Linked DNA regions of Ovis aries. The protein of the gene in region 2 interacts with the protein of the main gene of each other region in a pairwise test. Links are inferred from orthologs where the notes say so. Each region holds a gene or a part of one and is shown on either strand. Other genes may lie near its edges.

Evidence for each region.
Region 1: the proteins of CDKN1B (region 2) and CCND2 interact in binary tests that used the Homo sapiens proteins (3 or more experiments, as listed by UniProt). The two-hybrid records come from large-scale screens. The link is inferred for Ovis aries from reciprocal best matches to the Homo sapiens genes CDKN1B and CCND2.
Region 3: the proteins of CDKN1B (region 2) and CCNA1 interact in binary tests that used the Homo sapiens proteins (3 or more experiments, as listed by UniProt). The link is inferred for Ovis aries from reciprocal best matches to the Homo sapiens genes CDKN1B and CCNA1.

The regions. Positions count from the first base shown.
Region 1 is NC_056056.1:211,597,116-211,601,567, reverse strand, and holds the end of CCND2 (G1/S-specific cyclin-D2), read left to right. Parts: exon of another isoform or gene 1-2,363; intron 2,364-3,143; coding exon 3,144-3,293; downstream 3,294-4,452. UniProt on the Homo sapiens protein: Regulatory component of the cyclin D2-CDK4 (DC) complex that phosphorylates and inhibits members of the retinoblastoma (RB) protein family including RB1 and regulates the cell-cycle during G(1)/S transition.
Region 2 is NC_056056.1:202,779,496-202,785,028, reverse strand, and holds the start of CDKN1B (cyclin-dependent kinase inhibitor 1B), read left to right. Parts: upstream 1-1,978; 5' UTR 1,979-2,514; coding exon 2,515-2,989; intron 2,990-3,543; coding exon 3,544-3,665; 3' UTR 3,666-3,673; intron 3,674-5,533. UniProt on the Homo sapiens protein: Important regulator of cell cycle progression. Inhibits the kinase activity of CDK2 bound to cyclin A, but has little inhibitory activity on CDK2 bound to SPDYA. Involved in G1 arrest. Potent inhibitor of cyclin E- and cyclin A-CDK2 complexes.
Region 3 is NC_056063.1:25,413,195-25,417,985, forward strand, and holds part of CCNA1 (cyclin-A1), read right to left. Parts: intron 1,915-4,791; coding exon 1,668-1,914; intron 1,504-1,667; exon of another isoform or gene 1,480-1,503; coding exon 1,355-1,479; exon of another isoform or gene 1,337-1,354; intron 896-1,336; coding exon 672-895; intron 1-671. UniProt on the Homo sapiens protein: May be involved in the control of the cell cycle at the G1/S (start) and G2/M (mitosis) transitions. May primarily function in the control of the germline meiotic cell cycle and additionally in the control of mitotic cell cycle in some somatic cells.

The DNA.
Region 1 (4,452 bases), about 8.8 Mb from region 2:
TCCGTCTATAGGCTTGGCCGCCACCTCCCTCGGAGTCACACCCTCCACCCTGGTCCCTGCTGGGGAGATTGAGAGCCCTTTGGGCAGGCCTTGGTGGGGGTGCCAGTCTGCTGCGGGTAGGGGCACCAGCCCACCCTCCCTCCAGCCTCACTTTCCAGCAGCTCACAGGAAATTCACAGTCGTAGGAACTCCACAGAGGGGAAGGGCTCCTGCGATGCTGAAGGAAGGTGTTAAAATGCAGGGAGTGGGGAATTGCCTGGAGGTCCAGTGGTTAAGACTCTGCACTTCCACTGTGGAGAGCACCGGTTCTATCCTCAGTCTGGTAACTTAAGATCCCACATACTGCGGCCAAAAAAAATTATAGGAAAGAAATGCAAGGCATGAGCTCTGTTCTCCAGGAAGAAGGAGGCTGATTTCTTACCTTTGTGCCTCCAGCAGAGAACTTCAGCATCCTTTATGCAAAATGAGCTCTTGCCCTCAGGTAGGTTTTCATCCCACCAATAGCAACAGATCCCACAGTTAAAACTTGGATGCTGTCAGCAGTGGAACCAGAGGAGGGTTAGACTTGGACCTCAGAGTGCTTCCCAGGAATGGGAGAGAAAATTGGCTGCTGAGAGCCTTTGCTTCCTGCTCCATCCTCATTTCTGCAGCAACTGCTACGGTCCTTCCTTTTCTCTCGAAGCAAGAAGTATCAAAGAGGAAGAGCTGGTCACTGTCAAAAATGATTTACATTGACTGAAGGAAGGAGAGTCTGTGTTTTGTGTGATATCTTTCTTCATTTTATTCAGGAAAGCTTGAAGGTTTGGGGCTGCAAGTTAATGTACTTGTGATGTTCGATGCCTGTGTTATCTTGAAGTCCTGTAGAAGTGACTGCCCGGTGTACCAGCCCGCCCCGAAGGACTTTCTCAGAACTTTCCTTTTAGGGTCTCAGGCTGCTGGGAGGGAAGCCTGAATACCAGGAAGATCAGGCACCTGGGTGACCTGCAGGGAGACTGTCCATGACCCCCTATCAAGCTGCTTAGCTCTCTGGAGCCCCATCCCCATGTTCAGAGGACCACCCATCTCAGCCGCTGGTGTGGCTAATGCAGAAATGGTCATGGCATCCTGGGTTCATCGTATTGTTGGGTAGCAGTTGTGTTGACACAGAAACAGAGTCTTGGAGGAAGGAAAGTCGACAGGGTTGGTGGAGAGCTTCGTAGGGGACCAGCCAGAGCAGTGTTGACTGTTGTCAGTTTTTGCCTTGTTAACCTGATGCAAAGAGTGAACTCATTGGAAAAGACCCTGATGCTGGGAAAGACTGAGGGCAGGAGGAGGAAGGGGCAACAGAGGATGCGATGGTTGGTTGGCATCACCACCTCAATGGACATGACTTTGAGCAAACTCCAGGAGATGGCGAAGGACGGGGAAGCCTGGCGTGCTGCAGTCCGTGGGTTCGCAAAGAGTCTGCATCCCTGCTGGACGCTCCATCCCTGGTGCGCGTTCCTCTGTGCCCCTCACCTGTCTTGAGCAAATGCTCACTCGTACCTCATTTCAGAGAAACCTCAGGAATTTGTTCAGATTCCAAGACTTCCACTTTGTGATGAACGATTAGAGCTTCATTTGGACATCTCAACTGATCCTCCCTCTGTGAGCGTCTCCTGAGTCTTACATTACAAATGGGGAAACCAAGGACAGAGAAGGAGAATAACTCAGTGGTGCCCACAGGTCTGGTCGTGGGGACAGCAGATACCACCTCCCTCTGTCCCTCTTCACTCATTCTGAGTGGTATTTCGTATCTGCTCTCAGCGCTCGGTCCAGATGTTAATTTTCCTAAAAAGCTGTGGTTTAACAGTGTACGGTGGCCGAGAGATACAAAAGGAAAATGTGGGGGCATGGAAACTTTCCTGGGAGTTCCAACTTTATTTTAGATCTTTGGAAAATAGAGATAATGCTTGTGTGCTTGGCAGACTGCAACCTCTGGGCAGTGAAAATTGCGTGGTGGAGCAAACACAAGGGGAACATACATGAAACTCTGAAAAGACCCAGGCAGAGTGGAGTTCACATAGTTTCCATACGTTTACGAGAGTGCCAGGAAACCAGTCTTGATGAGTAGAGAGGTCGGGAGATGCTGAGTTGGCCAAAAAGTCCATTCAGATTTTTCCACAACATTTTACAGGAAAAGCTGAACGAACCTTTGGCCTACCCAGTATCTGCTGTGAGCAGTTACTTCAGCTCTCGCCCCGGTTGCTAGTGCCAGCCACCGTCCCACCCTGACGACGCCCATGAATTCCTGCTGCGTCAATGTCGCCCAGTTTAGAGGAGCTTCTGCGTGGGGCTGACACACCCTGAATCTTCCCTACCAAATATAGACTGATCTCAAAGCAGTGCTGCAGTTTTTTCTTTTTGCTTTCTCCCAAATTAGACGGCTTAAGTGTCCAGAACGTTGTAAACACTCTGTGTTGTGTTTTTTATGAGAGTTAAAGAAATGGTAAACAAGTGGAGAGGCGAATCTGCTTGTTTCTGAGTACGGTTGCAGTGGCTGGGAGGCTCAGTGTAGTTTAGTCCTTTCGCTTATATCTGCCCTTCAGGTCGTCTAGTTCTGTCACACTGTCTGGAGGGCTCACCTTCCCCTTTTCACACTCACCATGCAGTGGCCCCAAGCAGGAAGCATCCCGCTGGCCCTTGAGTTACCAGGTGCTGCATGGCCGCAAATGGCCCCTCGCCTTGGCCAGCGCTGCCCGGGCTTCTGATGAAATGCACATCCTGAGATGCAGCTGGTTCGGAGAGGGCTGAGAATCGCATTTCTAGCTAGCTTCCAGGTGGTGCGGATGCTGCAGATGCTGCTGGCCTGTGGACCCCGCTTGGAGTGGTTCCCCGGCCACCAGGAAGACGCACCTCCTTCCATGTTGACTTTCTTTCTACTGGAAGCAGAGAAGGACATGGCAGCCCACTCCAGGATTCTTGCCTGGGAGATCCCATGGACAGAGGGGCCTGGCGGGCTGGAGTCCAGGGGGTCGCGAGAGGCGGAAATGACCTGGTGACTACACCACCACCACCTGCTGGCGTGTGGAGTCAGGCGGGCTGGAATCGTGCGTGCTCTCTGTTGATTGCTGTGTCCCGGTGCCCTTGCTAACGGCCCTGGTCTCGATGCTTCTCTCTTCTAGGATTGCCTCAAAGCCTGCCAGGAGCAGATTGAGGTGGTGCTGCTGAACAGCCTGCAGCAGTACCGTCAGGACCAGGGCGACGGATCCAAGTCGGAGGATGAGCTGGACCAAGCCAGCACCCCTACGGATGTTCGGGATATCGACCTGTGAGGATGTGGGGCGGGCCCAATGGGAGGGGTGCGTCCAATCCGCTCTCTCCTTCTCTCTGGTTGTATTTGGTTCTCTTACATTTTAGGATGAAACTTAAAAAAAAAAAAATTCTGCCCCCACCTAGATCCTATTGAAAGATCTTTTAGAAGTGAGAGATAAAGGTCCTATAAAAACAAAATCATTACAAGCATTTGGTGCCTATTTGAAGTACAACAGAAGGGAATCCCTTATATATGCCAAGTTACTGTTTGATGATGTTAAAAGTCATAGTAATATGCTTACAGGAAAACCTGCAGAGTAGCTAGAGAAAAATGTACGCCTGCACTATGGGAACAAATTAGAGACTCTTTTTTTTCATGTTATGAACTAGCACGTATATACCCCTGTTGGATAATTTGGAAGAACTGCGGATGCCACGTATGGCAGGATTGGATTGTGAAGCAATGAACTTGAGAAGGAATTAGGAATCAAGGAGGGACAGGATGGGGAGGGAGTGACAAACGATCTCAGCGCAATCGAACCATTTTGGGTGGAGAAGCGCCTAACTCCCAACCACCTGTTTGTTGCTAAGCAATGCTGGGTCTCTAGTGACAAGTCTTGCTGCCTGCCGTAGCTGCTACCTAAAAGAGATGTTCTGTTTTGCCCGTTGGACACAGGTGATTGGATCCTGGGTTTCATGTTTTTCTATACCTTGCTTCTTCTTCCAAACTCGGTTCGTTGCAGACACCACCCCATTTTTATCTTAAAGGGGCAATCTAGCTATGGGCCATCCCCCAAACTCTGTGAAATGGAGGCAGACGGAGCCCCAGGGTGGGATCTGGAACTTTTTTTTTTTTTCTCCTGAGGTGTTCAAGAGAGTAATGTGACCTTGGCATCCCTCATTAGGAAAAAAAAAAAAACGTGATTTTTTTTTTTGGTGCTGATTGGCATGTCTGGTCCACAGGTGAGCGTTGGTATAAACCATTCCATTCGAAAAGCACTTTGAAAAATTGTTCCCGAGGGGGTAGATGGATTGGTTTATGCAAATCATACAGAGTAGAGGCCTCCTTCCTTCTCCTGTGCCCCCTCCCCTCCTGCCCCCCAATCAGGTTGCTGTCCTGTATCCGATACTCTCTGGGTTCCCCTCCGGGGACTCAAAGACACATCCCCTTCCGCAGAA
Region 2 (5,533 bases):
TTTCTCTCCATCAGGTAGGAAGTCTGGCCTTTGAAAGCACTGTCTCTCTCACTGCTCTCTGGGTCTCACCCTGCCCCTTTGGAATCTGCATTTTAGTCATATTAAGTGCAAGGTCATACCAAAGGCCAGTGACAGTCCTATTTAAATATCAGGGACCACAGGCCACATCAAGGAAACAGCTGCAAGCAGCCCAGAGCATGAGAAGGAGCCATTTTGAATCATTTATAGGAGAGGAGGACCTGCAGACTATAGATAGGAGAATCACTCTGGGTAATAACCCAGAGAAACCTCTCTTGAGTCTCAGTTTCCTCAATGGTTAAAAGAGAAGGTTGAACCACAGGGTTTCCAAGGTTCCTCCTAACTCCTACATTCTGGAATGTCTGAAGCAAGGAAGGCACACAAAGTGGGCAAATACTATGTGGGTTAAGAAAACAAGTTAAATGTCAAACTCACCTGTAGCATAGATGCCTAAGAAAACTGTTGTGCACAATTGCTGTTGGGCACTGTTAGAACCGGAGATTACTTTCCAGTAAAATGTGTAACTTTGATCCAGAACAAAAGAAGGATAGGGAGGGCAGTTAAAGACCCTTTGTTTCAGATATAACAGCCTGTCCATCCTGTTTTAACTTCCATCACCTTGCTCAGGAGCACAGTTAGGTAAATGTCAAGTTGCAAAGGGGAGCAGAGAAATGCCGAAATACTGGGTTGACCAAAAAGCTCGTTTGGGCTTTTCCGTAGGATCGCCTGGAAAACTCCGAACGAACTTTCTGACCAACCGAACAATCTCAGACGTGAGGACACGGTTGTGGTTGCTTTAGAAATCACTTCGCAATCCGGACTTTCCGATTCCTTTCACTCTTAGAAGATCCGCCGCCCTTTAAAAGCGTCAGTCACTTGCATCTGAATGGTGTTCTGGGTGGGTTCCAAGAAGTTGAGTCTGGTGGGAGAGAAGGGTGGAGGAAGGAAGAAGCTGTTGTGTTTGGCGGCTGGACTCAGGTAGAGGAAACTGCTACAACCCGGCAAAGAATTGAAAAATACAAAGAGGAGACGAGTTCCCACACGCAGCCCACGTCAGTGAACTGTACTTGGGAGGCAAGAACCTGGGCCAGGGATCTAACCTCGCTTTTTTTTTTTTAAACTAAATGTGTCTGAGACAGCTACAAAGTTTATTAGGGACTTGGGAGATCAGTTGACTTTTTGATCTTGCAATCCTTTCTTATTTTTTATTGAGAGAAACCTTGGGTTCAGAATACATAATAAAGACTGCATCTATTCCAGGGTAATTTACAGAAAGACGTCCTCCTAGGCTTCTCACCTAAGCCCCTAACCTCCCCTAGAAATAGCAGACTTCTAGGTTAAGGCTGAACTAACCACTGCTCACCTCCAGCTTAAGGCACCCAGGCCGAGGGGCTCCCCGCCTCCCCCGCCATGTGAGCGATTGGGGGCCCCCGGGGGGGAGCCCAGCTAGGGGGCCGAGCTCCCACCCTGCGTCCCCCCATCCCCCGCTCGGTGAGTGCAGCGCAAACAAGATCGCCAGCCAAGGGTACCACCACCGGCGGCCGAGCACCTTGGAACTCTCCCCCGCTTTCCCGGGCGAGGAGCCGGGGAGGTCGGGGCTCCGGAGCAGTGGCGCGCGGGTCCGCGCAGCGCCCGGGATCAGAACACCCGCCGGCCGGCCCCGCTGCCCAGGCCCCTCCCCGGCTCCCCGGCCGTTTGGCGAGCTCGTTTGTCTTATTTGTAATTTCTCCTAGGCCAGCCGGAGCAGGTCTGCTGGCAAGCCGTGCGCCTCCCGCAGTCACGCGACCAGCCCCGGGTCCCGGCCGCGCGCTCGGCGGCGGCGGCGGCGCGCTCGGGAGGCGGGGAGGCGCGGCGGGGCCACCTTAAGGCCGAGCTCGCCAGCCTCGGCGGGGCGGCTCCCGGCGCCGCGACCAATGATCTCCTCCTCTGTTTAAATAGACTCGCGGTGTCAATCATCTTCTCCTTCGTCAGCCTCCCTTCCACCGCCATATTGGGCAACTCCAAAAAGGGGGCTCGTCTTTTCGGGGGTGTTTTTTTTCCTTCCTCCCCGCTTTCCTCTGGGCTCACTCTCTCGCCGCTCCGCGACTCCGCGACGCCCGCAAGGTTTGGAGACGGCGCTCGGGCGGCGGGACCCGCGGGCTCGCGGCGGCCCGGACTCGGAGCGGCTCTGCCCCCTCCTGTCTCGGCGGCGCTCGGCTCCCCTCCCCTCCGCTCCCCGCCCTCCCGCTTGATCGGCCGGGATCGGGGCTGCCTGGCCCCGGGGGGCTGCCCCTCGCCCCCTCCCCCAGCCCCGTGCGCGCCTAGACGCTCGGGCGCTGACTCGGCTCGCGTTTGTTTCTCTTGGCTCCAGGGGCCGGCGCAGGGCTTATAAAGAGGGGCTCGGGCTGGGTCGGGGCGTTTTGTTTTGTTCGGTTTTGTTTGGCGAGAGAGAGAGAGCGCGCGCAAGAGCCTCAGTCGCCGAGACCCCCCACCCCCACCCCACCCCCTGGGAGGAAGATGTCAAACGTGCGAGTGTCTAACGGGAGCCCGAGCCTGGAGCGGATGGACGCCAGACAGGCGGAGTACCCCAAGCCCTCGGCTTGCAGAAACCTCTTTGGCCCGGTCAATCACGAAGAGTTAACCCGGGACTTGGAGAAGCATTGCAGAGACATGGAAGAGGCCAGCCAGCGCAAGTGGAATTTTGATTTTCAGAATCACAAGCCCCTGGAGGGCAAGTACGAGTGGCAGGAGGTAGAAAAGGGCAACCTGCCCGAGTTCTACTACAGACCCCCGCGGCCACCCAAAGGCGCCTGCAAGGTGCCGGCGCAGGAAGGCCAGGATGCCAGCGGGGCCCGCCCGGCGGTGCCTTTACTTGGGTCTCAGGCAAACCCAGAGGACACGCATTTGGTCGATCAGAAGACTGATGCCCCGGACAGCCAGACCGGGTTAGCGGAGCAGTGCCCCGGGATAAGGAAGCGACCTGCCGCAGATGGTAATGACCCTTTCCGATGCCTAAAATGTCTGTCTCTGTCTGCCGCGCTCCTTTCCCTGCTTGAGGGTCTTTAACCGCAGCTTTCTTTTCAGCGCGTTCTGACTTAGCTTTTGGGGCGGAGGTGGGGGGAGCGCACTTTCCTACTTTGAGGTACATGAGTACATGCTATTTATTTAGTTGCCTGCTTGTCTGTTTATGACTTTTAAGTCAGAAGCTTGAGATTGTGTTATCTGATCATTTCTCTAACTGAAAACATCGCGGCTCCTCCCAGCTAGACAGCGGTAGGTATGTGACAATGTTGGGATGTTTATCAACTGCCTCCTTCTTCGCTTTGGAGAGAGAGCTTTGAAGCGTAGAAAATACACTTTCTGTTATGTGAAAACAACTTCATTTTGTGCCCTTAAAGGCCACTGGGAATGACGGACCCAAGATTGTGGGTGGAGGTAGTGGGTTTTTTGTCCCTTGACTCTTGGGCTCACTTCTGTCGGCCATTGTTTTTTTCTAATAAAGATTGTTTGTGTGTGTTCTTTTTAAAAATTCCCTCTTGCCCTTAGATTCCTCTCCTCAAAACAAAAGAGCCAACAGAACAGAAGAAAATGTTTCAGACGGTTCCCCCAACGCCGGTTCAGTGGAGCAGACGCCCAAGAAGCCTGGCCTCAGAAGGCGTCAGACGTAAACCACTCGGTGGGTTGATGACTTGGAGCAAATAAGTGACACCCCAGTTGGGTTGCAGGAACTGGTGGGCTTTCAAGCCCCAAGATAACCCGATCTCAGTGGGGGCTGGCCGATGAAAACTTGGGGGCTTTTGTTTTATGCTTTGGGAGGACAAAAAGGTAGGAATGGGGAAGACTGGGAATCAGTGGGGAGGTACTATAGTTCTTCCCAGTTTTCACCTCCTGAGATTATTTTCCTTTGAAGCACCAACTGATCAGAGCAAGTGTCCCAGGCAAGTTCTTGTAACCAAGGCTCCGTGAGTAGGAAGGTCAGTTCCCTGAAGGTGCCATCAAAACATGTCCAGAACAATAGGTTCTTTTTCCATCTGACCAAGAGCAGGGGTCTGCCTCCATCCCACTTCATGAGAATTCATCTCCCAGAGGACCATGTTGACTCAGTAACAGATTTTGAGCTCTACATGGGCAAAAATGGCAAATAAATGATTTAATTAAAACTTCGAGGGAAAAGTGAGGCACTTTTCCTCACTGAAAAAGTGGTTCATATCTGGATAATCAAATATTTATAAATGTGACAGAAATATATGACTTGCTTTTGTCTTTATCATTTTCATATGCTCTCACACTCTCTGGCTTCTGATAAGTTTGGAGGATGGAGAAGGAACCTGTGTGTTTAAAAAAAGTAAAACTGAAATGGAAGGCTCAAAAATACTAAGGTTCCTGCGGAATTTCTGATAACACTGAAGTTGCAAAGCAGAAGTGACTCTGCCAGAGTAAGCAATCCAGGAACACGTCAGCATGCGTATGCTAATCATGCTATAACAGGAGAAGCTGGGTGCTTGTAGAGGAAATGGAGAGTAGTTATCGGGGTTGGCAGGGGTAGGTGTACCCCCAACATTAGAAGTGGAGATTTTTGCCGTTTACTAAAATACGATCAATATGAAAAGCTAATTTGAATAATCAGCCCCCAGCTTTACATGGATTGGTCTTAAGGATCAAACTACACATATTCATAGTTTGTAAACTTATAATAACTATGTCCTTCTTTCTCTCTCCACTCTCACTAGCCTAGCATATAAAGAGATCCTAAGAAATGTTTACACTAACTTTTAAAATCCTCATTTGTAAAAATTTTAAAGAAGGATGAAGGTGAGGTTCAAGTTTGTTGTGTTTTTAAATCAGTGTCATATATAGGACTTGGCTACATATATGTGATATTTTTCAGAGCTTATATAAAACAGTGCTATGAAACCTCTACATCACAGCTTATATATATGAAGTAGGTAAATTGGATGAAAATGATTTCTGAAGTAACCCTAACACCTGCGGCTCTTGGTTTGTGACTTGTGGCGTAAGTCGTCAGATGAGCAAATCAGACCTGTTGAATTTTGATCTGGCTCCATTCTCACCTACCGAGAAGCACTTGTTAGTAAATATTGCCAGTTCAGAGAATACAGGAAATCGTAGTAAGGACCTATTCATAAGCATTCGTGTGTATATTTCTACATATGACTAAGACTAGAAGATTTTGAGAAAAAAAAAAAGTGAATAGAATTTTCTTTGGAGAGCCTTTATAAATATCATTGCCAATTATTTTTCAGACAGAAAATTCTGCTGCTCTTAAGTGTTATTGGTTTCTGAATTTTCCCATGTCTGTTCTTTCTCAGTATCTTTGACCCCAATTCTCTAGACCAGGGTTCCTCAACCTCTGCACTGCTGACATTTGGGGCCGAATAATTCTTTGTTGAGGGAGGCTGTCCCGGGCATTGTAGAATGTTCTGGCAGCATCCCTGATCTCTTGAAGCACATGTCAGTAGAAACCTCTCCAGTCATACCCAGTGTGACAACCAAAAATGTCTCCAGCCATTGCCAA
Region 3 (4,791 bases), on a different chromosome or scaffold from region 2:
TCAGATGGTAAACAATCCGCTTTCAATGCAGGAGACCTGGATTCAATTCCTGGGTTAGGAAGACCCCCTGGAGAAGGGAATGGCTACCCACTTCAGTGTCCTTGCCTGAGGATGCCATGGACAGAGGAGCCTGGTGGGCCACAGTACTTGGGATCGCAAAGAGTTGGACACAACTAACACTTTTACTTTTAGCCACAACCCAGAACTTTTCTATACAAATAGATATTGTTATGAATGACTGACAGTAACAGGAATTAGCTACAATAGTTTATTCACTGTAACCAAATACACTGGGTTATTATGAGTCACTTGCTAGAGCCTGGAGAAGGCTTACATAAACCCAAATCTCTTTAAACAGGGCTTTTACTCACTGTAGAATATAGTCAAAAGACTACTACAAAATAATTAAATTAGATTCTGAATTTGAGCTGATGGTTGCCTTAGTCATGATACTGAACTTGTCATTAAGAGGATCTTAAACATCCAAGTTGAAGAGTGAACATGTGGTGAGATTCAGTTTCTCAGTAAACAGTGTAAAAATAATGATATTTTATCCAAGGAGGCATGAGTAAGTTTTAATTATCAAGCACTGTATTTCTCCAATAAGTGGGAACAGAAATCAAGTGTTTAGACAGGCTGACATTTCATGTTATTTGAGCTGAAGGACTTACGAAGCCAGGAGAATAGCTGCTGTTCCTACAAGCTGTAGTTTCCCTCTAAGAACAGACATGCAGGAAAGAAACCTGTCCAGGAAGTTGACAGCCAGGTAGAGGGTCTCTGCGCGGAGCTTGTACTCCTCTCCGACCTCAGCCAGCCAATCCACCAGAATGGCCCGCATGCTTTCTGTGATGTCTGGTTGTTTCCTCATGTAGTGTGCCTTGGGCCTGTGTCTTATCTGTTTGCGGAGAGAGTTTTTTTTTTGATGTTTAAATAGTTGTTATCTTATAAGGATCACTCCACAGTACAGTTGCTATTTTTAAAAAGCTCCTGAGCAAAGGTTAGCAGGAAACTCAGTCAAAAGCCAGAGAAATCTGTACATCATGATATGGAACAAACTGTGCAATTCTGGCTCTGTAATGCAATTTAGTTAACGAGTAACTTCAAGGAGGAGGGACATGGCAATAATGGTTCTTCCCAAGAGTGAAATACTTAATATTCAAACTCTTTTGAGACACAGAGAAACAGTCCAAGTAACTGCTACTCACCGCACCCAACTATTATTTTTCATAAACGTTCTCATGCTTAGATGTCACAAGAATGCCATTCGCCAGTGGTCATGGCCAAGAGCATATAATTATGTTAATACAGAGTGCTCGGGGTGCTGGAAATTGAAGGAGAAGTTGGGAAAACTCACTTCAGCTTCTCTAAGGTACTGATGAATTTCTTCAGCATATTCAGTCACATTTATCACATCTGTACCAAAATCTGATGCATCTTCAGACTGGGAGTGGAGAGATGAATCTACCAGCATAGGGGAAACTGCAGGGGGTGCAACATTATCAGGTAAGACATTTCATTTCAAAACTAGTTCCATCCACTAACCCTATACAGGCAGCTCCAGCTCCACAGTTACTGCTCCAGGGAGTTCTCTTGCTAGCTCTACGTTGCTGAACACTGCAGGCGATTGCGAAGACAGGGTATGGTCAGCCATGGGCGAGTCCCATTACCTGTGTTAAAATCCAACAGGAAGTGAAGGTCTGACTTGAGTGCGCTGGTGTCTACTTCATATGCATCCTCTAATGCCATCCCCTTTCGCCCTGGGCAGCTATCTCTGTCCCCCTGTTCAGGCTCATCCATGTAGATGTCAAATCCTTGCTTGGCAGGTGCCTGAACCCTACTGTCCGACAGCGCTTTCTTTCCAGCTGGAGGGAAGGCATTTTCTGATCCAGAGAAACACCTGAGTGTGGTGAGCCCCTAGAAAAGGATGAAGTTTTTGTGTTAGAGGCTTACCCCAGAGCCCGCATAGGTGCTAAGAACACATGTGACTCAAACCAGCAGGCTGGAAAGATGAGAGGAATCTGAATTTGAAATATCCATGTCTGCAACTGAATTTCAGAACCTGAAACTTCCGGAGGATTACTTTGCCCTTATCTTTGTCTATATGTGACGTCTGGGGAAGGAGCTAACCTAAAATTTGTCATCTTCTTCATATATTTATCAAAGGAATGCAAAATTATAGAAAAAAAGAAAAACTACAGCTCTTCTCCAAAGCGAACTAGGTACCATACGTTGGGAGGCGGTGGAGGGGGACTGTAAATCAGCTTTTGTGCTTGTAGCATGCCAGATTTTTATAACAACCCAGCAAGGTTCTTGACACATAGTTACAGAGTCCTCCTTAAAGTCAACTTTTAGTCAACAGGCTCCTGGAAAGGTCCCATTTATACACAGTTATTCAGAAACATGATGCTTTTAGAAATATGTACTGTGAGTTAGTTCTCTTACAAGCTATGGAACACTATTAGATGACATAATGAGAAAGAGAAATGAAATTCTAGACATTTTTAAAAGTATAATCAACAGCATCTTCTCAGCAAGTTAGGTGTGGGGTGGGAGAAAAAGAAGAGTCAAGGATGACAAAGTTTTGGGGTTAAATAATGAGAAGAATGGATATTCCATTTATTGAAATGAGGAAGACTTTGGGAAGAGCAGGTTGGGCCTGGAGTCAGTGTTTGGTTTCACCTAAGTTTGAGGTGCCTACTGCATGATCCAAGTAGAGATGTCAAGTAGATAGCTAACTTGAGCCTGAAACTTAGCTGAGAGTTCCAGACCAGAGACAGAAGAAGGAATCATCAACAGAAAGATGGTATTTGTTGCCAGGAGACTTGAACAGATTGTGAAGGGAGTGAGTGCCAATTCAGATCAAATACTAAGCTCTAGCACACTCTAACTTTCAAAGAGTGGATGAAGAAGAACCAAGATAATGAGGTGTCACCAGTAAGCTAGATGAGAAACCAGAAGAGAGCTATGTTCTCTGGGCTAAGTCAGAAGAAACTACTTCCAGAAAGAGAGAATGACCAACAGTGTCAAACACTGCCATTCAGACAAGTAAGGAAAGGATTACGAATTGAGGCAAAGAGAGGGACTTCCCAGGTGGTCCAGTGGCTAAGACTCTGCACTCCCAATGCAGGGGACCTGGATTCAATCCCTGGTCAGTAAACTAGACCCTGCATGCCACAGCTAAGAGTGTGCATGCCGCAACTGAAGAACCTGCATTCTACAACTAAGACCCATTGCAGCCAAATAGACAATAATTTTTAAACAAATATTTACAACTTTAAATAAGAATTGAGTCTAAGAGAACAGAAGGAGAAATCAAGACAGAGTATCTGTTCAGCAAATACTTGCACGCGGCCCTGGCCGGGCATGATTTTTCTAAACACTGGGAGTACAGCAGAAAACCTGGTATCACAAATCCCCATCCTGATAGAGTTTATAGTAGAAAAATTCTCAAGAAATACCACCATACGTGGAACAGTTGCTGTAAAGAGCTTTGTAGTTGAAATGTTTTTAAGGTTGGGAAAAAAAAAATCACAATATATTTGCATTTGGGTTTGACCCAGTAGAGAAAGAAGAGCTGATGGAATGATAACCTTGAAGAGGCAAGAGGGCATCAGGTGTGCCTCACACATGGGGTGCACCTTGCATAAGAGCAGGAACACATAGGTCACGCAGGGAGGAGGGTGGCAGGGCATACGATACTTGGGGGCATGTGGAAACTCACAGTTGCATCTATATTTTTAGGAAAATAGGATATAAAGTTATAAGCTGAGAGGCAGGATGGAGATAGAGGCTTTAGAGGATAAAGAGAGAAGGGAAAGTATAAAATAAAAGATTTCTATAGGACGGTTGTAGCGGAATAGAACCGGGGAATGCAGAGGTAGCACCAAGCAACATAGAGGGTAACTAACAGTTATGAATTTACAGTGAAACCGCTAAGCACAGGGGTAACTGCCCATTCAGGAGAGGTTTTAGACTTCCTGTTTTAATTATTTGTTTATTTTTAATTGGAGGGTATTTGCTTTCCAATTTGTGTTGGTTTCTGCCATACATCAACATGAATCAGCCGCGGGCATACATATGTCCCCTCCCGCTTGAACCTCCCTCCGACCCCCTACCTCATCCCACCCCTCTAGGTTGTCACAGAGCGCTGGGTTTGAGCTCCCTGAGTCACACAGCGAATTCCCACCAGCTCTTGCTTTTACATATGGTGATGTACATGTTTCAGTGCTACTCTTTCTATTCATCCCACTCTCTCCTTCCCTCACTGTGTTAGACTTCATGTTTAAAGAAGTACACCGTGTCGCTAAGCAAATTAAGTTTGCTAAAACCACCTTTACTCAGCTTTTTCCAAAGCTTGAAACAGATTACTTTGGGTAATTTTCTCCCACTAACCAGATGCCACCAAGACACAAATGACTTGTGTCATTGTGTAGAAGAGGAGTAGGAGTAGTCAGTAGATGAGAAGCTTCTGATCTGGCCTCCATCATGACTTTTATTTGGGTGGGAAGGCTTTCTCAAACCTCTCAAATTTTCTCACCTGTACAATGGAAAGGATACCTGCCCACCTACTCCACTATACTACCGCCAATAGATATGCAGTACAAGCTTATGAGAAGCTGGTGTGATGACAGACTTGAGGAAGTTTTGTTGTTGTTGTTTTTTTAATCTCAAAATTCATTCTTAAGGATCCAAACTCCTTATTTGCATTTTAAGTGTTGAATTTATTTACCCTCTGTTTACATTCTGTTAAGGGAGGTGCCTATGATTAATTAAGCACAAGCAACCGGACAT